Drosophila melanogaster: one gene and its partners. The protein of the gene in region 1 purifies or fractionates together with the protein of each later gene. This does not show direct contact. Each region holds a gene or a part of one and is shown in the gene's direction. Other genes may lie near its edges. The genes, in order: Leash, c12.1, CG15445 and U4-U6-60K.

Evidence for each region.
Region 2: the proteins of Leash (region 1) and c12.1 purify together in Drosophila melanogaster (affinity purification with mass spectrometry, with the first as the bait; one large-scale study listed by BioGRID). This does not show direct contact.
Region 3: the proteins of Leash (region 1) and CG15445 purify together in Drosophila melanogaster (affinity purification with mass spectrometry, with the first as the bait; one large-scale study listed by BioGRID). This does not show direct contact.
Region 4: the proteins of Leash (region 1) and U4-U6-60K purify together in Drosophila melanogaster (affinity purification with mass spectrometry, with the first as the bait; one large-scale study listed by BioGRID). This does not show direct contact.

The regions. Positions count from the first base shown.
Region 1 is NT_033777.3:10,883,520-10,888,994, forward strand, and holds the start of Leash (leash), read left to right. Parts: upstream 1-2,020; 5' UTR 2,021-2,453; coding exon 2,454-2,568; intron 2,569-3,825; exon of another isoform or gene 3,826-4,140; coding exon of another isoform or gene 4,141-4,791; exon of another isoform or gene 4,792-4,824; intron 4,825-5,475. Other genes in the region: CG14696 (uncharacterized protein), read right to left, coding at 28-395, 1,201-1,315; Ak3 (adenylate kinase 3), read right to left, coding at 4,141-4,791.
Region 2 is NC_004354.4:9,316,888-9,320,975, reverse strand, and holds c12.1 (c12.1), read left to right. Parts: upstream 1-1,752; 5' UTR 1,753-1,853; coding exon 1,854-1,984; intron 1,985-2,047; coding exon 2,048-2,696; 3' UTR 2,697-3,061; downstream 3,062-4,088. Other genes in the region: c12.2, read right to left, coding at 1-9, 69-389, 464-891, 1,109-1,159, 1,292-1,484. UniProt on the Drosophila melanogaster protein: Involved in pre-mRNA splicing.
Region 3 is NC_004354.4:21,114,794-21,121,286, forward strand, and holds CG15445 (uncharacterized protein), read left to right. Parts: upstream 1-2,367; 5' UTR 2,368-2,611; exon of another isoform or gene 2,612-2,669; 5' UTR 2,670-2,702; coding exon 2,703-2,822; intron 2,823-3,522; coding exon 3,523-3,978; intron 3,979-4,068; coding exon 4,069-4,869; exon of another isoform or gene 4,870-4,954; intron 4,955-4,985; coding exon 4,986-5,465; 3' UTR 5,466-5,651; downstream 5,652-6,493. Other genes in the region: unc (uncoordinated), read right to left, coding at 1-547, 663-947, 1,241-1,550.
Region 4 is NT_037436.4:17,510,967-17,516,106, reverse strand, and holds U4-U6-60K (U4-U6 small nuclear riboprotein factor 60K), read left to right. Parts: upstream 1-2,194; 5' UTR 2,195-2,325; coding exon 2,326-3,987; 3' UTR 3,988-4,252; downstream 4,253-5,140. Other genes in the region: CG7564 (uncharacterized protein), read right to left, coding at 377-1,639; Oatp74D (organic anion transporting polypeptide 74D), read right to left, coding at 5,012-5,140.

The DNA.
Region 1 (5,475 bases):
TTTGGAAGAACAACCAAGACTACATACCTTATACTCGAGCCGCCTATTAAGATCATGTGGCAGGATCACCGTGAAGCACTGCTTAAATGTGTTGTTGTAGCGAACCGCGCGATCGATGGTTAGGGTAACCTCGTGCTTAATCTGACCATGAGCACCATTGAATGAGGTGGGTGCATTGGGCGGAATGGTAGCCCGGAAGGGAAAGACGTACTTGCCGGTGGGCAACTCCAGCTGCGAGCCACCGGCCTGGCCGTAAACCGGCTGGTCAGTGCTGTAGTAGACCTCGGTGGTGGTGTGGGTCACCAGGGACTTGGTCGTCTTCCCATCCTCTCCCACTCGCTCCTCGCTTTCCTGCCAACGCGTCTCGCCGTATCCATTTATGGTTATAAAGATCGCTGCAATTGGATTAATTTGTCTGTACTGCCGGGTATGTAATTCAATTATGCATTTAGTTTAATTGCCATTGACCTTGGACCTTTTGTGTGTTTCGGATGTAGAATTGTATTGGAAAATTGCTCAGCTACAAACAACTGTCTTTGTTAATGAACTAACAATAATTTAATCAGAAGCATAAAAAAAACGAATGCTACCTAATAAAGTTCACCATCAAATTAAAGCGCTGCTAAGGCTCGACTATTTGATACCCTAGGAAATATTTGATTATTTGAATTTGAACCGATGGCTAGGGTCCACTTAGCTTGCTAATGGGATTTGTATAAATTTATATATATATGTATATCTGCATGAATTACGCCTAATTGACCCAAAATGCTACCTATACACTACAATTTAAAGGTATTGGCACGAACGGGCTGACCAGTAACTGAATCAAATATCTAATAATACAAACAGCGTACGCAATTTCAAAACAAAACTAGTTTTTACGCCGCTATCAGATATCCGCCAGCCAGCCAAGCGGCCACATGTGTGTTGTATATAAACTTTATGTATACATACATATATGTACATTTGTATATACAATACACATCTTTCAAGCATATCTACCGGCAACAATAACATTAAACCAGCGGATAACAAAGCACCAACAATATTAAGTGGATATTTATTTATTAGTGGATGGTAAAACGGTATGGGATTCAGAATTTGAATGGTGATGGAGGGGGATGACGTCATGGTTTCGAGTCCATTAGAATACATATGTATGTAGTGCGTCTTCTTCCGCATGTCGGTGTCACTTACATCGAATCGTCTTGGGGCGCTCCGTAATCAGTTCCGCCGTGCCGGAGATAAGCTGACCGGCTTGATAGAGCCCCAAAGGATTGCTGTCGAAGACGAAGTTCACCTTGCTGCTCATCCTGTCCAGAATTGGCTCCTTGGCGACGGTGTCGGGTGGTATCGCGCTATCAAGTTCCTTTGTTTGTTTTATTGATAGTTGGTGGAAGAGGTAGGGATTCGATGTATTCGAGGGTTCCGGCGACTCAGCTCGCAAGCTCCGAACGCGAGCAGCTCTGGCTTAATACTGAATTCTCAAAAGTCTTTGGTGAGACCGAAGAACCGAGAAGCAAACTTTTGTGCGCGAGAGGTTACAAGAAGAAGAAGCGAAGGACAGAACGGGGAAGCACACGAAATACTATATGGAGCATTATGCTGCTAAGCCAACTAAAGTTTAATCTTAATAAAATATGTATGTATGCTTCAATCATCGCTGACATCTAAGCTGAGCGTTTTGTTATCTATACAGTAAAATATTTGGTAATTATTATTCGTAGTGAAATATATCAACTTAAATTATTGGCGATATTCAAACAGAGAGTTTCTTCTTCTCTTTTCAAACATCAAACCATAAAAAAAGACCATTACTACCAAGCATTTCTGAACTCTTGCATTACAACTGAAAACAGTGCATTTAAGAAACGCTGTTTAGAACTTAAACTTTAAATTAGACACATTTGAAAATACCGATTAAAAAGTCTGCGAATTAACCGCTTCAGCTGGCCAGGCGCCCGGTGGCAGCACCGCGCAACAGCTGTTCGTGCTATCGGACCGCCGCTCTCACGGTTATCGAAAGAGAGCTGCAGCTACAACAAAAAAGCGTAACTCACGGATCTCGTAAATTTATAAGAAATTTAATTATTCAACCCGCCAGCGGACGACAGCAATCGAATTAAATTAGCCCGGGGTGTGCGACCAACACTTGTGGGCCATTGCGAATTGATGGATATCGAGATTCCCCAAGAACTGGCCACAATCAGCGCGAAAAAGCTCCCACTCACCGCGCGGTGTGTGTAGTAACATCAAATCGTAAATCGTGAGGCGAGTGCGTGTGGTGGTGCTACTATTCTGCATATACTTTAGGGTGGTGCGGGCCGTGGTGCTGCAGTGCATCCATGTACGTTTGTATGTGGCGGCATTTTGATGACGAAATTATTTTTGGATAAGTGCGTGAGGAAAGTGGCCAAACCGGAGGAGTCATCACCATCAACGCCAGCGGAATGGAAAGCGAGCGGCTGCGAATCACGCTGGACAGCGCGGATCGGGTTTACTTTGCGGGCGACATAATTCGCGGCGAGATCTGGATGAACGTCAACAAGCGCACCAAAATACGCGGTAAGTGCCAGTCGAGCATAACTTGCCGCTTCCTGGAATGCACATCTCAAAGCTCGGCTTGCATCATCCATGACTCAGCTGTAGACACGCAGAGAAAGTGTTTCAAAACCCTACATTTAACGTTAGGCTCTTAGTTTATGATTCTGGGTATTGTTTACATGTGTACATATAGATCGTATTACCGAAAAGATTTAGCTTAGATATAGTAATCTAATATTAACAAAGATGGTTTTCTGCACAACCCATCATGTACTCCACAAATAGAAATGTGCTTTTTTCTGTTTTGTCAGCGGTTTGCAATCCATTGTCCGCCCGATGGTCAGCTGGACTTTCGTTGCGGCCCCATTCGCATAAACAAAGAACTCCATCAGTTAACAAAGCACAGCGGCCATTTTATGGGGCTTCCTCCCCCTCCGCTTCACCGCAATTTCGAGATTCTTGCTCGCAAATTCCTCTAATTGCCTTCGGCGCTCGCCTTTCATTCATCGATAAGCTTTCAATTGCCGCCCGTTGCAATTGCAATTGAATTTCTTTTCGTTCTTCACGATTCTTGAGTACTGGCATTTGTTTCAGGAAATGCCAACCCAAACGCATCGCGCGAGAGGGGAGTGTAGACGGTGGGGGCATGTGCGAAGAGAGGCACACTCAGTTGGCGTGCCGAAAAAGCCGTAATATTGGGCCAAGCGCAAGTCGGGTCTAAATGAGAGAGAGGTGAGAGGGCGCTCGCAGCACAGTGGTGGCCACAAAGGGGTTTATATAGGTTTTTTTTTTTAATTATCCAGAAATAAGATTCCCAGTAATGGTATATTCCGAAGTATAGTGTTTAAAAGGCAAACAGCTATCTCCATTTTATTATGAAGTATACCTTTAAAACAATAAGTGGTTTATTGAATTTTTTATAAATGACTTAAAGAATTTTAAATCTGACATAATTGGGCGCCCTTGACTGTACAAGCGCCTCTCTGTTGTGATTTGCCACTATACAGGTGTGCGTGAGAACAGCAGCTGGTCCGTGCATGTGTGAGTAAGAGAGCGCGAGACTAAACGGGAGCGCCACACTATCCCATATTTTTTAGAAATTAATGCGCTACGCGATAAAATGAAGGGCATTTGGGTGTCATGAGGTGAAGCTAAAAGTGTTGGCTTCACGCATGGGGCCAAGGGTTTGTGGACATTGCCTAAAAATAGATCGACGGCTGTCCGTTAACTGCCCAAAAGTCAAAGTCGGCTGTTATCAGCGCATATATATATATATTTATATATATAAAAAACGCGATTTATTATCAGAGCACAGAATACGAGTACAAAAATATGTTTATACAAAAAAGGGGGGAGCTGCAAGACATGCTCATGAGGGGAATGATATCTGTGGAAGAAGGAATACATGACAGCTGCTACTGTGTAAGGCTTCGCAATTACATTAATTATACGCCTGTTCCTCTTAACCGGCCCACAAACATACATATTTCATACGTATTCATTTATATATATCTAAATATATTATGCACTTAATTGAACACAGCAGTTTATCGTTAGTTTGTGCACATTGGATGTAATTTCGGGGTTGCTCCATTACGCATTTATGCGGTCGTTGAGGAAAAGCTCCATCATCGGCCAGATCTCCTTTGTCTGTTTTCCCTTGAAAGTGGCAACCAGACCCTTCTTTTCGTACCAGGCTATTACCGGGCTCATCACCTCATCGTAGAGCTCCAGTCGCTTGGCCACCACATGGGGTTTATCATCTTCGCGTTGCATCAGCGGCTCCCCCGTCACATCATCTTTGCCAGGCACTTTGGGATTCTTGAAGCCAATATTGTACACCCTGCCGGAGGGCGCATGGATCCAGCGATTCTTGACCCGGTCGATAATCACACTATGTGGAACGTCCAGCGTGATCACGGCATCGATTTGCTCGCGTGCAGCCAGTGCCTCGGCCTGGGCTATATTGCGCGGGAATCCGTCTAGGATGTACGACCTGTTGCCTACCTCGGTTATCCGGGCCAGCATCGTCTTGGTCACAATCGCGTCGGGCACCAGTTTACCTTCAGCAATGTACTGCTTGGCCTTTTTTCCAAGTTCTGTGTTTTTTATGATGTTCTGGCGCAGAATGTCCCCCGTGGAGATGTGCACACATCCATGGTTCTTGCAGATCAATTCCGAAATAGTTCCTTTGCCCGAGCCGGGGGCTCCGATTATCACAGCGCGAAAGATTTTCGTAAACATGTCTAAGCTCTAGTTCTTCAACCTCTCCTTGAGCTGCAAGACAAAAAATTGAATTGATACATGGTTAAATTTAATATGATATGATAAAAAAATTCGGTTTATCTATTTAATATAGGATCTGTTTTTATATTTTGATTTAGGGTCAATAACATATAATCTTGGCAGTAAAACCAAAATTATTTCAGTTGACCATACTCGACTACTTTTATGGGCGATAAGACTATCAAGCACGCCACAATTGTTTGATACAGAGGTGATGAAGGTCATAGTTTTCGCTAAAGCTTATGTGTTTTATGTGTGACTAATCACGGGAATCCAACCAATGATTCCATTCAATTTGTGAGCGAACACGGCAATAAAGAGTGGGTAAATATAACACTAAATCACTTGTCAGCTTTTGTGCTCGTGAACCAACATGCCGCTTGGTAACAAGTGTAGCGCAAACACTTAAAAGAGCGCCACCAGCAAAAACAACAAACAGAAGAGACAAGCGTGGCTTTTCAGCCTTATGTTCTTTGTCTTCATGTATAACCAGATATTGTTGTCGCCCCGCTTATCGTCCAAAGTCCGCACGGAAAATTATAGAGAATATATGTAGACATGTATATATGTACGTGTTTAGTGTTAATGTCGCGCGTGTTGTGTTGTTTTTCTGCAATTCTGCATTTCTGCACTGCACGCGGC
Region 2 (4,088 bases), on another chromosome or scaffold:
ATTAGCCGCCTGAAGAAGCAGAAGGAAAAGTAAGTATTTTATACGGAAATGTGAAGGGGTACACCTACCAGCATCTTGACACCCAATGCTAGATTGTGGATGGGAAAGTCGGGCAGTTGGAGCACAGGATCCGCCTGCTGCAGGGTCAAGGCGAAGGTGAGCAACTGCTTCAGCTGCTCGCCGGGCACAGAAGGCGCCTCCTGCTGCAGTTCCTCGTACAGCTCGCCGTACGAATATGTGGTCACGTTGCGGGACTGGAAGCGGGAGCGCAGCGGTGGATCCAGTGGCGTGCCCTTGTACTTGTGGGTGGGCAGACCCAAGGCTACCACCCGGAATTGCTCCGATACGCGTAGCAGACCCCATTCGTCCAGCTGCTCCCGCGAGTGTTTCTAAAACAAATGAGAATGAGGATTAGCAAGCTTCAGAGGACTAGGAACGTGCACACAGGAAACAGCTAACATACCTCTAGAAGTTTATCGTAACGCTCCGGCGACATCAGGAACTTGCCGCTCTCCAGGTGCATCTCGCGATTCTCCAGCAGATTGTTTAGTATGGGCAGGACATTGCGTTCCGCGTGCTCCACTCCATCGAGGACAAGAACTCGGCCATTGAGCGCCGCTCGTACGGCTCCCTGATCGTGGAAGATGGCCGCCCTGTCGTTGATTTCACGTCGCTGCTTCAGATCGCTCTCGGTGGTGTCTCTGCTGAGGGCCACGTACTCCACCTCGCGCTGCGTCAGCTCCAGGAACTGCATGGCCAGCTGGCGGCGCAGCGGACCCGGTTGCCCCAGTAGAAACATGTCCTGACGCAGTGCATCCTTCTGCAGCATCCAGCGCAGGTGGTGCAGTGCTGATTGCGACAGCTGAAGGGTGCCATCCGATGCGTATTTCACTATCGGATTGGATGGATACAAGAACGAAAGGTTCGTGTTAAAACATAAATCATTTGGTCCTCCAAATACAGAGTTTATTAAGTCTCGAGTTCGGATAGCTTGTGCCTCATATAATTTGTCGATTTGGCCAATTATGAAATATAGCATGTAGCTTGTTTTCACATAGGAATTTTCTTGAGATTATAGTGGTCTTTTCTCGATGACCATGAGTTTTACATTCATTCCTTCGCTTTAGATCCGTGGTCTCTTTAATCCTTGATGTGTCTGCTACTCAAAGATGATATAATGACATGATATAATGATAATGATGAAATAATTCTGCGGCACCAAGATCTTTATGTTGACCTTTGCACTGTCCAGAGATCTTGGCTTCCCACTTCCCGGCATCCCCCTGCTCACCGTATTGCTGCGGCACCAGTTGCGGATCCTTGGGCTTGCGCAGCCGCACGCTCACATCGCCGATGGTCAGGCTGTCCTCCTCCGGCTGATCCTTGCCAGCAGTCGTGCTCGCCCAGCTTCGTCGTGGAATTCTTGCATTTCGGAGGCTGTGATGCAACAGGTGGCCGCTGCAGGCGCGCAAATTGGCCAGCATGGCCGTCGGTGGGGGATGGATAGCAGGGGGTTGGCTAAACTAAACTTAAAATCGCTTCAAGTTGCCGAAAAGTTTTGTTTTTCAGCGTTTTTTTGTTTGTCGGATAAAACGGCGGTGCTCCGCGCGTGTTTACCGTAACAATGCTGCCCATTGGTGCGCACAGCTGATGTTCCAGTGATGCCCAGCAATAGCCGCCCTTATCACGGTTAAAGTCCGCACTAAGCGTGTATCGAAAGGCCTATCGGTCAGTGTGACCGTGGTACGGCTCGATTATTGGTACTGTTGATACATCAAACAAAGCACGCAGTTCGGAAATTCATTTCACTTTTCATCAATTTAACAATTAAACGCATAACTAGCTAGTTGAAAATGACCACAGCAGCGCGTCCGACCTTCGATCCAGCCCGCGGAGGATCCGGTCGCGGCGAAAAGGATCTGAGTGCACTGAGCAAGCAGTACTCCAGTCGCGATTTGCCAGGCCACACGAAACTGAAATACAGGTAAGGATTAATAGTAGCCCACATAACAATTTCCTTGTCTAACGAGAACTTGTGTTTGCGCAGGGAGACTGGCCAGGGCACCAGCGATGAGAACCGCAACCGTGACTTCCGCAAGGAGCTGGAGGAGCGCGAACGTGAGGCGCGCTCCGGAACGGGAGCCACTTCGTCGTCGTCGGGCAAGGCACTGCCCTCCATTGTACGCAAGGCGATTGAGGCGAACAACGCCGGCGGTGGCAGCAGTGCCGCAAAGCGTTCCAAGCCGGACGCAGGGCAGCAGCAAGCGCAGCAGGCGGCTCAGCAGCAGGCCGCCAATATGGACGCCGATGAGCCGCTGGACAACGATAGCTCCGATTCGGACAGCGATTCCGATGACGATGATGCCGCCCTGCTGGCCGAGCTGCAGAAGATCAAGCAGGAACGTCTGCAGGAGACGGCGCGTCGCGAGTCGGAAAAGAAGCAGGAGGACGAACGCATACGCATGGAGAACATCCTGTCCGGCAATCCACTGATGAACTATGAGCCCGGCACCGCCGCCTCGGCAGCGGGACGTGCCTCTGGACTGGGCGGTGATCTAAAGATAAAGCGCCGCTGGGACGATGATGTGGTCTTTAAGAATTGCGCCAGATCTGCGCCCGATAAGAAGACGCACTTCGTCAATGACGCCCTGCGCTCCGATTTCCACAAGAAGTTCATGGACAAGTACATTAAGTAGGCAGCATCTGGGACTCGCTCTCAAGTTTCAGCCGCGCTCTTTTTTTGTAATAGTTTAAGTAAAACAATTGTCAACCCTCTTTGTCCTTTCACCCCTCCCCCCACAAGCTGTTCATTAAATTTCGTATTTTGTAAGATAACTCTGATATCCAATAATCATAAACAATCTTTCTAAGCTAAATACCGATTGGTTTCGTACGTAGCAAACTGACCATTTTGTAAGGCATTTGCTTTTTAAGTTTTTCAGTTTTCTTTTGAACAGTGAATGATAAATTTCTTTAAACGAGAAACATATTTTTTAGTATGTATAAGATCTTTCTTATGTAATTAATTTTTGGAATAATTAAATGGAATGCTAGCCAGAATAGTTCCATAGGCGATTGGTTTATTGCTTTGTATACTTTGTGTTTGGTTAAAAATCCAAATAAGAACCTACTCATACACTCATATTATTTAGCAATTCGTATTGAGGTCGACTTTATTTGACGAATAGGCACTTTGGGCCATCTTCCTTCTGCGGGCTGTGACCCAATGACTGGCGGCTGACCGCGAGTGGAAGTCCGAGTGCGAAGGGCAGGAACCTTAACCAAAGTGTGAAACCGCAAAAAACATCGGTAGCCGGTCGAGGGACAACAGCAGCAGCCACCAGAGGCGGCGGGCCAGGATGTCAAGGGGGGTCAGGGTCAGGGAAAAGGGTAAGCGCTGGAAAGAGGGGCGAGAGGGGTAGCTGCTACGTGAGCGCACGAAGAAGTGCCCAAGAAGCGCAGGAAGCCCAATCATCATGGCGATCAGGGCAAGGGCAATTGTCGCTGCTGATGAGGCACGAAGCAAAATCAATTTGCCCCAAGGAGCCGGGCCAAGCAAGCGCAGAATAACTTGGTCAATTACGCCGAGAGCTACACTGCTCGAAATGCAGGTAAAACATTAAAAATTAATTTTACAGCAGCTGCATAATATCCATCAAATTTGATTGAAAAATGCTTAGATGGGCAATGCGCAAGAATACCTGTACAAATTCTAACGCACTCTGTTTATTTCTCATTTAAAAGTTCAAAATCGAAGTGATAATTGTTTCCAGTGCAGCAGAAGCCACTGCGAATGCAAATCATCCGGTGGGTCTTGATTTCCACGCCTCTTTAATGCCCCGCACGCGGCCTGCGCCATCTGATGATCTGAACTCCGACTTTGTCAATGAGCCCACGTTCCGCCTGCGAGTTCGAATCTAAATCCCAACCTGAATCTTCATCCGACTGGATGCCTGCCACCCCCCCTTGGCGCTGGCAGGGATCAGTGAGTGGTCGCGACCCCGCTCCCAAAAGTTGACGAACGCTCAATTTTACGCTAATTCGATCTGAATCAAAATCAAACAAAATTAGCCTGCCCATAGCTGGCA
Region 3 (6,493 bases), on another chromosome or scaffold:
CCCACAAAGACACTTCGGCCATCTGCGCCCAGAATCAGCTCGTGCTCCTCCGTCTGATACAGACCAGTGGTGTCCACCTCGGGACGAGCTTCCACGCAGGCAGAGGGCTCCGTTTGACAGCCGGTGTCTTGCAGAGAGACAGGGACCGGTTGTTCCACCTCCTGCTTAGGCACGGACCTCCTGATCTCCACCAGCGTTCGCATAAGAGCCATCAGCAAGCACTGCGTTTGTCCAGCCAGATCCTCCTCGTAGTGGGCCTCCGCCAGCTTTCCAAATTCCGAATCCGCTAGAGCTTCTTTTTCTCCCAGTATGGCGGCCACGACCTTCTGCAGTTCCTCCGTCTGGAATCGGAACTCCGGCCGACTCCGGAAGTCCGGCAGGTTGCTGCGATGCGGCGTCTCGCTGCAGAAGACCGACAGTGTGAAGTGGCAGTTCTGGGAGTGCAGAAACTCCGCCACCAGAGTGTGCAGCACCATCGCCAGTGGCGAGACGAGCAGTGCGTGGGACTGAGCCATCTGCACACCAGCAGCCTTGCTCAAGAGCTGGCCTGGAACGGGTACATTTATGGTTAGATCGATTAATAAATTAAAAAGGGGGTTTTCAATAAACTTTGAGATGCCAAATAGTAAAATATCTTTCATTAGTTTGATTAGCAAACCCACCGAGTGCCGTATTATTGAAGCAGTGAATGAGCTCCACCCGCAGGTGAGAGTGCATCTCCCGGGCAATCCCCTCCTGGTCCAGCCACTGGCGGAACTTCACCTCGAACTCCTGCTCCGACATCGCGGCCAGTTCCTCGAGCTGTTGCCTCAGCCGTTCCGCCCTGGCATCGGAGTCATCCTGCTCCTCAATCTGATCCTGAGGAATAGGTACGTGCTTTCTGGTAGGCCTTCCTGTGCGGTATCCGTGTGCTCCAACCTCCGGGGGCAATGATGATCCCCGCGTTACTGAACACAAAATGGGATTATCAGTGAATATGAATCGCTATTAAGTTCGTAAAGGTTTATTGTACTGAATATTTTAATTTGAAAAGATTATTTTTCGAACAAATTTGTGTACGTCGGAGTATAAAGATTGCTGGTTTCTTAGAGTTATAATAATAATAATAAAAATAGTTATAATAATAATATTAATAATAAAAATAATTATTATAATAATAATAATAATAGTTATAATAATAATAATACTTATAATAATAATAATAAAAATATTAATATTATTATAAAAATAATAGGCCCACCTCTAGTTATATTTGATGGTCCGCACGGTCCTGGTCTGCCCAGTCCGGTTGCTTGGAGTCGCTCCCTGGACTGCGTCATTCTCCGCCTGGCGGGATCGCCGTCGGTGCTGATCCTTCGATTATGCTGGCGCACCCGCTGTGTCGCCGACGCCGCTGTGGCCCGCTCCTGCTTAATCTGCTCCTCCCGCTCCCGCTTTGCGGCCTCGTGCTTCCGCTCCCGCTCGCAAGGCATGCCGATGCCGCCCACATCCCGCTGCTTCGCCCTGAACGATAACGTTGTCGTGCTCGCCGGCACGTGGCGAACCTTCATGCCGTCCTGAAGGAACTCGAGGCTCGGATGGGATCGAGAGTTGGTCTGCGTATGCTCGGATAGAACCTCTGACCGCCGCTTACATGCGCCGCGTTTGAGTAACTGAACTTTCCAGGTAAAACGAGCACGAGCGCAAGACACTCACCACCAACAGCGAAATGTGACAGGTGCGACGGAGCCTGCCCTGCCACCTGGGAACTGAGTGAAATTGGGGAGGAGGTCAACTCGATCGTCGGGGGTTGGTCCTCCTAAAGGCGTCAGCTGTGTTGCCTATGTGAAGCGTGCTCTAAAAATTAAGTGAAATATATGACAACTGAGTTCTATGAAATGGTATTCTAAGCAAAAGCTTATTTATCATAAGTAATTGCTCACTAATACTTATAACGGCGGCAGTATTTACTGCCGAGCCCATATTAAAACAGCAATACTTCTTGTGGAAGCGTGTATTTGGTGTATTTTTCACAATAATAATATTTTGAATTTTAATTCAAAACAGTTCCGCTTTAAAGTTGGCAGTTGACTATCGATAGATAATTGTCCGCAAAACAGCTGATTGCTAAGTAGTAAGTGCATCAGCCGTACTGACGGTGAAACTGAAATATGAGTTTCTTGCGTTAAATGGTATAGAAATAATATAATATAAATCAACAAGCACAGCTGTGTTTGCCAATGCGTTTTTATAAAAAACCAAATTTGAAGACTTTGACTATTAACGGGCAGAACGTTCATGTCAGTCAGCTTTTGCAAGCGTTTCGCTGTGGCTGACAGATGGCCGAGTGCTGCAAGAGCCGATAGCTATCGAGTTGCAGTTGTTGTGTCAAACGACAAAAAAGACCCAATTGCGGTGATTCCACCAGGCAGAGCTTATCCCATACGAAGACGCAGCACAGTTCACATTAAATAAATTTCCGTAAATAGTTCTTATTTGTCACCCGCCCAAAATTAAAGTCTACTCCACTGCACCCAACCCCGCGATTATCAACGACTGCGCATCGTTCTTTGTTGTTTCGTGTAGAAACACATGTGCAAGGAAGAAGAAGAACCAGAACATCACATCACTCGTAAATAGTAAATATCTAGAGCATGCCCGATCCTTTGTGACGCGTCAGTTTCAGCCAGTTCGCCACAATTTTTGCCAAGTCATCGTCGAAAATGTCACAAAACGACAACCTACTCATCCAGATCCGCGCCCTTCTCCAGTCCGATGGCGAGAAGCTGTGGGAGGAGCCCTACTACTCCGAAGATCTTGGTAGCATCGAGGGAGCACTAGAAGTACGTACTATATGCCCACCACCCCACACCTAAATGCCTTCCAGTCAGTGGTCGGGGAAATGACAAGAATGCCTGAAATACGGTTGGCAATATAGAAATATTATATTCAAAATGCATATATTATATATATATATATATATATATATTATATATTTATTTGTTAGTTCTTTTCACATTTGAAGAAGTAAGAAGCTAGTTTCGACAAGCCGTAACTTATATACACCTTCAGCTAAGTTCATATTATTAACACTTATTTTAGTTTGATTAGTTTGATCATATGATATTATTGTCCAATTAAAAATACTTAAAAAAAAAACAACATGACATTGCACAAACGAATCTTTTAAATTCCTATTATACTTTAATAATTCTGAATTACAAGAGTAACGACAAAGATATTATTTAGTTTCCTTATATAGGTTTTTGATCTGTTTCGCTTCGACTTATTTATAACGCCTAGAATAAAAATAAGATTTTAAACCGATAGATTTGTTGGCGTGTGAAAATGTGATTGCTTTCTTGAATTATTATTTATTTTTCAATAAATAGAGGTTGAGGGATTTTAAAAATAAAGTAAGACCAATAGTAGTCAAAAGAATAGCACATTACCAGCATTCATACTCAGGAACTCAGTAGCTTTGGATTAATATAATATATAATATTTTATTCTATAATAAGATGTGTATCCATTTCATTAAAGAACCTGGCGCAGAAGTACTCCGGCATGTTGGGCATCGATATAGGTCGCTGCAAGTTCTTTTTGACCGAGCTGCAGGAAAATGCTCTCCGTACGCTGGCCGCCCGACGTGAGTTCAGCACCACAGGAATTGCCACGTTGAAGGTTCGCCGCGTTGGCGAGCACAGCGGTGCCACAATGGTGGAAGTGAAGTGCAGCTTGGACATCGTGGGCTCCGAACTCCAGGCATGCATAGCGAAGAAACTGGAAGTGCCGAATGCTGCGCACGTCAAGTGCATCGCTGCCGGCAAAGTGGTGTCCGCCAATGCCACTTTGGCCGACCAGCAGTTGAAGAACAACCAGCAGTTGATTGTCATTGTGGGCGATGGGGATAATTCTGGCGAAGCCCTGTACGAAAGGATCAATCGCATCAAGGCCGATGTGGAGGCGGTGGTGTCCTCGAAGAATAACCTAATAGAGGTGAGTAAATCGGAAGGAAAGTTGCTTAGGTTGTTGTTTAGAAGGTTTTTTAAATCACACCACTTGTTTGTATTTTCGTGTCATGCCCAGATGGAGGATCAGAATGGCAGCCAAGTGTATTTGCCGCCTTCCGAGCATAAAGCCCTGCTCATGGGTTTGGGATTCTGTGAGAAGGCCCGTGCGGCCATGAATCGCAAGCATTTTGAGGAGGCTCTGCTCCTGCTTTTGGAGGCCGACGAGCATTTTTCTACCTGTGGCTCAAAGTTTCTAGAGTCCGTGGATAACTATGCTTTGCTGAACCTCGACATAGTGTGGTGCTATTTTTGCCTGAAGAACGTTACCCAGCTCCCGGATGCTGAGCATCGCTTGGCCCGCTGCAGTCGCAATTTCGGCATCAGCTATGGCGACAATTTGGAGAGGCTGTACTCCTTGAAGGGCAAGGACTGTCCCGAGAGGGCTTTAATTATGCGGCTTAAGTTGCTCCAGGGCGTGATCTTCTTCCACCAGAATCTTCGCAATCAGGCATTTGAGTGCTTCGAAGCGGCTAAAACTCTGCTAAATGAACTAAAGATCAACAACGACCAACTGGCTCTCCTGGTCGATATGGGCTTCGAGCCCTCCGAGGCTCGTATGGCCCTGCGCTCCTGCAAGGGCGGCACCGCCGTCGAACAGGCTGTTCAGTTTATTCACGAGCGTCGTCAGCAGCTCAAGAATGCACGCATGAAATATAAAGCGTCCGAGCGTGCTATGGAGCGCCGCCTGAAGCGCTCCAATTCCAAAGATTGCACCTGGGTGAATCCCCGCAGTGTCTGCAGCCTTGCTGACATGGGATTCGAGAGCGGACTGGCCACTATCGCCTTGCAGCGCTCTAATAATGATATCCTCCAAGCGGTAAGTGTGGCCAAGAATATATTCAATGACATGAATTGATCAGTATGTTTTAACTATAATCTCATGGATGTCACGTGTTTGTAAACTATAAAATAATAGAAATATTTTTTTCTTAGGTGGAACTGCTGCAGACAGAATCGGACGAACTTACTGGTGCTTCGCCATGGTTTCCGGTCACCGTAGACACGACCAAACTGGCTCAGCTTCTGCAACTGGGATTCAACGAGAACGACTCGCGCGTGGCCCTACAGAATGCATCAAATAACATGGAAGAGGCCATCGAGAGTCTGATGTGCGCCATAGAGAGCGAGGAGGAGCTGAAAGCGATTTTAAAGCACGTTGGGCGTTTGGCCGAAAATGGTGGGCAAAATCTTGACGGCCCCTCTACTTCGAACGCCTCCGGGCAGACGCAAGTTGCTTTGCCAGCGCCCATTATCGAAGCTGTTATCAATCATGCTCGCGTCGAGATTGAAACGTACAAGGCCTACGAGCGCTTTAACTCCGACCTCAAACTGAGCGACCTGGAATACCTGGACTTGCCACTTATCCAGGAGGAGAAGATCCTGACTGAGTATTTCAATATGCTGCAGCAGTAGCTTGTATTTGACTTGCCTTTTTTATATCTATACAAAAAAATATAGAAACCCGAAACCGGTTGTCAAGATAACTGTAATCATGACTTGTCTATATTGCAAATCGTAGTCTTATAATGGCACTTAAGTGGCATTCAGCTCCCCTCCCGGCTGCTGTTTGTCCAACTAGGCAAATAGTAAAATATAGAGATTTATAAGTACATGCCTTCTATTGACAACTGCAAAATGTGATTGCGCCGAGCCAGCGGGAGAATTCACCTTTTGGAGCCACCTGAAACTTGTTAGCGCCTCTGGTCATTGCTTATTTTTTTTTTATCGTTTGTTTTTTTTTTTGTCGCTTGACTCTCGACCCCGGCTCGGACGGCGGCGCTTGATTGGGTTCAGTCGTGACCTTGTCGAGGCCAAAGGGCGCCGCTCACTAAGCTCATCCCGTCGACGAATTGAGCGGAACTTACACGATTTGCTGTAAGTATTTGCTTTGCTTAGCAAAGAATTTATTTATTTATTCAAGTAGCACCAAGACTAAATATTATAAGTCAACTAATTGGTTTTCTATATGTATGTACATACATATGTGTAAAATAGTAATTTTCTATTTATACACGTTACTCGCAGAGTGAATAGTATGTAAAATGTTGTCTTGTACAAATTGGCACGGTGCCATAGGATTAAAGTATCCTGCGGCAAATGTGTTGCAAACATGTGTTTTTACATCCTTGTTGGGCGAAATGAAAAATTTAGCAACTGGATTTTTTTTTCCGTAAAAGTATTTGCTCTCATGAAATTAGGTGTGATAGGAAAATGAATTTGGTAGTTATCATACTCTTCAAATATCTGAAAATGTCCTATATCGTACAGTCTGTGGCTATACTTGTGTTTATTTTATAGTGCTAAGCTAAGACACGTGATATATACATAAAAATATAATTTGAAGAAACAAAACTTTATATCTGAAAAAATTATATTAAAGCAAGAATCCAAATCGAAGTAGAATGGTTAAATTGCCAATAGATAGTTCACGATTCTCGATT
Region 4 (5,140 bases), on another chromosome or scaffold:
TCTGTCTCTACGTGCCAAGTACACTGGACTGGACGGGGACTATATAATTTCAATCGCATTATATCGAGTATATCGTTTCTCTTAAAGTTTTTATTGAGGCTGGGGTCTTGGACTGCGTTCGGTTTACTTTGGGGTAGTAACAAAAATTTGTCATTAGAGGTTGGAACGCAAGATCAAAAATAGAAATCAATTAAATTATTAAAAATGTACAAAGGTAGTTGTATCTTCATATTGGAGCGTCGAAAGTGTGGCTCTAGGTTGCTTTATTGGTTACGCTAAGAATATTCGGTTCCTGTTGTTTTCAGTAGTTCAATTTGTGGTGGCATTATAGTTCATGTGATTAATGCTACGTACGTGCGCTGGGCGGGATTCTAGCCTAGCGGCGGTAGTTGCGCTCACGGGAGTAGGATCGTTTGCGCTGGCCATTTCCGCCGCCACCACCATCCCTGAAGTGGTTAAAGTTCCGCCGTTCGCGTGGCGAGCGTTCCCTGGACCTTGAGCGGCGTCTGTCGTCACGGTGATGGCCACCGCCTCCTCCACCGCCGCCTCTGTCACCAAAGCGTCCTCTGTCGTTGCGTCCATGTCGGTCCCGATCCCGCCTGCCATCGCGTTCCCGTTCGCGATGATCCCTGCCGTGGTTGTCCCTGTCATCTCGCCGTCCTCCACGATCTGGTGCCCTTTCGGCTCGCTCCGGACCATCTGCCGCTTCCTTGGGTCGCTCACTCCCCTTCTCCTCAGGACCGCGTCCGTTGTTGGGGCGTTCGCGGTCCCCATCCCGGTTGCGCTGTCGTTCTCTGGAGCGGGAACGATGTACGCGAGAGCGGCGGTCCAGTTCACGACCACCTACAAAGTAGCGATTGCGTCCGCGTCCCTCGTCCTCGCGGTCCGTCATCTTACCCGTCCGCTTGAGCTCCGCCTTCCGCGGCGCCGCCGTCTTCTCCAGTTCGATCAGCTTTTCTCTGATAGTGAGGAATCCGAGATGTAACTTACCACCAAAGTGGTCCGCCAGACGTATGTCATTGTCGTGAATCCCGAGGTAGGCGGAGCATACCTCGCAGACGCGCAACTTTTGCTGCTGGTAGGTGGATGCGGGCATAGATGTGCGGTACTCGTGCTCGGCCTTGATCTTCTTAGCACGCAGCTCCTCGATCTCCTTCATCAGCTCCATGCTGTCCTCCACTTCGCCGGCCTCGCCCAGGGCCTCGGCCTTGGCCAACTTCTTGCCAATCTCCTCGGCGAGGCCATGGACAGCATTGGCCTTCTCAGCCACCTCGGCGGTCAGCTCTTCCTGGGTCTCTTTCAACCTTTGCTTGGCGGAGTCGGTGCGTCGATCGCAGTCGGCAATAAAGGCCTGCAGGTGTTCCATGGCCTCAATGTCGTAGTAGTAGTCGCGCGTCTTGGCGGCACTTTCGTAATCTGCGCGGAAAGCCAGGTCATGCACTTTGGGACACTCACCGAGATCCATGCGCGTGGACGCCAGGATGTCGTGCGGACAGCAGTCGAGCAGAAAGGACTTGCAGACCCTGGGGTCCGAGAATTTCAGTTGGCGCTCGTCGCCATTCCGTGTGGTACCCATAAGCTGGTCCAGCATTGCTCGCATCTGATCGGTGGCCGACATTTTGTTGCTCGGCGCGCTCATATCCTTCTGGCCAGGAGCGCGTGAAAAATGCTGCAGCGGTGGCAGTGACAGCTATCTCACTGGCTTTGTGACCAATAGCGTGCGACGCGTGTGGAAATTCTCAATTTTCACTCACTTTTAATCACCTAAGAAAATTCTGTGCGTGCGTGCGTGAGGATGTTCTAAAATGGGGTAGTGCTGAAAAACAGTGCTGTGAAGCACGAGTAGGCGATATATCGGTGAAAAGTCACGGTTTCTGGGAGTAACGGCTTTTGTTCAGATCCAAGTATATAGATTATTGTTGATTAAATGATTAAATAAAAAACAAAGGCACATCATTTAATTTCCAAGAACAAATGTAGTTCTCTCTAATAACGGTATATCGCGATCTTAATATAAAATTTTATTAAACACGTGGAATAAAGTTTCAGTTTTAAATAGTTATTGTTTTAAATATAATTTAGAGTTTCAAAAACCGTTCATTTAACAATAAACAACAAACAATATCGATCTAAAAACTATTGCTTATTCGCTGCATACCGCTCTAAACATCGGTGATGGCATCACTAAACCACCCCTCTCGGCGTTGCTCAACACTAGGCAGCAAAACGTTTTCTTTACGGCAATATTTTTTGTTGTTTCTTCGTTGTTTCGGCGAAATTTTATTTTAAAATTAATTATTTTGCACTTGTTTGCTGGCCGCAACGATGTCCGATGACGACGATATACAGTACATTAAGCGGCAGCGAACGCTGCACTATGGATCGCTCGAGGAATCGGAACGCAAGCGGCAAAATGCCGCGGCGTCTGGGGCAGCAGCAACAACAACATCGGGAACGACGGCATCGTCTGGGGCAGGAACAACAACAACTGGAACAGGCGGGCAACTGGAAGACATCGATTCCGATGAGGATTACGAGGAGTCCACGAAAAAGACAAGCAACGCCAAGCAGGCCGGAGCACCACCACCCACAGCCGCTACTCTGGCCAACAAAATTGACGATGACTACTTCGATCTAGAGATGGAAATGGAGCGCGACAAGGTGGCGCTCCTTGAGGAATTTGAGCGGAAAAAGCGAGCACGACAGATAAATGTGTCCACAGACGACACGGAGATCAAGAGCAATCTGCGCCAGCTAAACGAACCCATTTGCTATTTTGGAGAAGGACCGGCGGAGCGAAGAAGACGTCTTAAGGAACTCTTGGCTGGATTGGGCGAGAACGCCATCAACAAGAGGCAGTATGAGGATGAGGAGCGCAAGCAGCAACAGCGGGAGCAGGATCAGGCCACCTGGTACCACGAGGGACCCGATAGTTTGCGTATCGCTCGACTCTGGCTGGCGGATTATTCCCTGCCGCGCGCCAAGGATCGCTTGGTACGAGCACGTGAGGCCCTTGAAGTGCCCAGCGCAGCACGTGCCGGCCGAATGGTGGAGATGCAGAAGAAGCTCCAGTCGCTGGCTCCACTGTGCTCCCAGGTGGGTGACACACGGCCCGTGAGTAGTGCTGCCTTCAGTGAAGACTCCTCACTCCTTCTGACCTCCTCATGGTCGGGTCTCTGCAAGCTGTGGAGCGTGCCCGATTGCGAGCTGAAGCAGACGCTGCGTGGACATGCCAGCTATGTGGGCGGAGTGGCTCTGCGGCCGGGAGTTAAGGCAGACGAGGAGAACGTGGTGGCCATGGCTTCCGGTGGCCACGATGGCGCCGTCAAGCTGTGGGGCTTCAACAACGAAGAGTCGATTGCCGACATCACCGGCCACATGCCGCATCGCGTCTCTAAGGTAGCCTTCCATCCTTCCGGCCGCTTCTTGGCCACCGCCTGCTACGACTCTAGCTGGCGGCTGTGGGATCTGGAGCAAAAGACAGAGGTGCTTCACCAGGAAGGGCACGCAAAGCCGGTTCACTGCCTTAGCTATCATTCCGACGGCAGTGTCCTGGTCACCGGCGGTCTGGATGCCTTTGGACGAGTGTGGGATCTGCGCACTGGGCGGTGCATCATGTTTCTGGAGGGACACTTGGGCGCCGTTTTCGGCGTGGACTTTTCTCCAAACGGATTCCACATAGCAACAGGGTCCCAGGACAACACATGTAAAATCTGGGACCTGAGGCGACGCCAGCCGGTCTATACCATTCCTGCGCACACCAATCTGATTTCGGACGTGAAGTACCAGCAGGAGTGCGGCAGCTTCCTGGTCACCTGCTCCTACGACTCGACCACCAAGATCTGGTCCAACAAGACGTGGCAGCCGTTGAAGACGCTGCAGGGCCACGACAACAAGGTCATATCGGTGGACATCGCGCCCAACTCGCAGTATATAGCCACGACCTCATTTGACCGCACATTTAAGCTGTGGTCGCCGGATAGCTGATTTTGATACCATTACTTTATTGTACTCACCTGTGGGCGTACGCAGACAATCTCCACTTGCGATCTGCCCGCTGGGCACGACTTACTCATCAACTGTTTTTGTTATTTCAGAGACAATAGCCCAAAACATTTCAAGTTTTCGTTTTGTATAACACAATTTGTTGTTTTTGTTAGGCGAAAGGCAGATGCAGCGATGTTGCATTTCGTAAATTTAAGACTTTTTTATTGAAATTGTTAATAAAAAATACATTTTTGGTAGAGAATTGAATTTTAAACGGGTTTAAAATTGGGAAAGGATTTACTGGCCCAACAACTAATCAGCCTACAACTTGTTTCTAATTTATAAGTAAGGATAACTAGCAACTTTTCCTCTTCATTTTTTAATTATCCTTGAGCAGCCCATCCTCATATTTAAACATCTGTTTTTATTACTTGTATATAGTTTTCCATTTAATTTCTTTTCGTATATATTTGTTGTATGACAAACTTAGACAATTAATTTGAATTTTAACTAAAATTTAACTACCACAGATAGGTTGCAATTACATACATACATGTAAGTGTATGTCTAATATATTAATTATAGATTACATACATCGCGATATAACTGTTACATATAGTTTACACATAAGGATTCATAAATTTTCTTGCACTTTGCACAATTGTCGATCAGTTTGTAGTATTAGCTCGTCGATTAACTACGCTCATGCATGACGTTAGATAATGTCTAGAATTTCATTTCATTGTTTCGCGTTGAGATTTACAAGGATTCAAATCGCAATCCATGGGCTTCATGTAGAATATGGTGCTGGGATTTGGAGCAGGATCGGGAGCGGGAGCTGGACGAGCGCGTTCTAATGTGGATTTGAATGAGGTCTCCCGACGCTCGAAGATGCCACTTAACTAAATACATAACTCTTGCACTAGGCTAACAAACTAGACAAATGATAACTAATTAACAATTAAGGTAAACGTTTATTGGAAATCCTGCAGCTTGTGCAAGGCTCGTCGCCGACCCGCTCCTCCTAGACCGTCGTGTCCGGCGCCGGGGTGATGGGCTGCTTGGACTCGGACACCTCCAAGGTCCTTCCGTTGGAAGCGGGCCCGCCCTCCTGCGGATCCTCGGGCGCGATGTCAATGCGATGCGCCTTGCG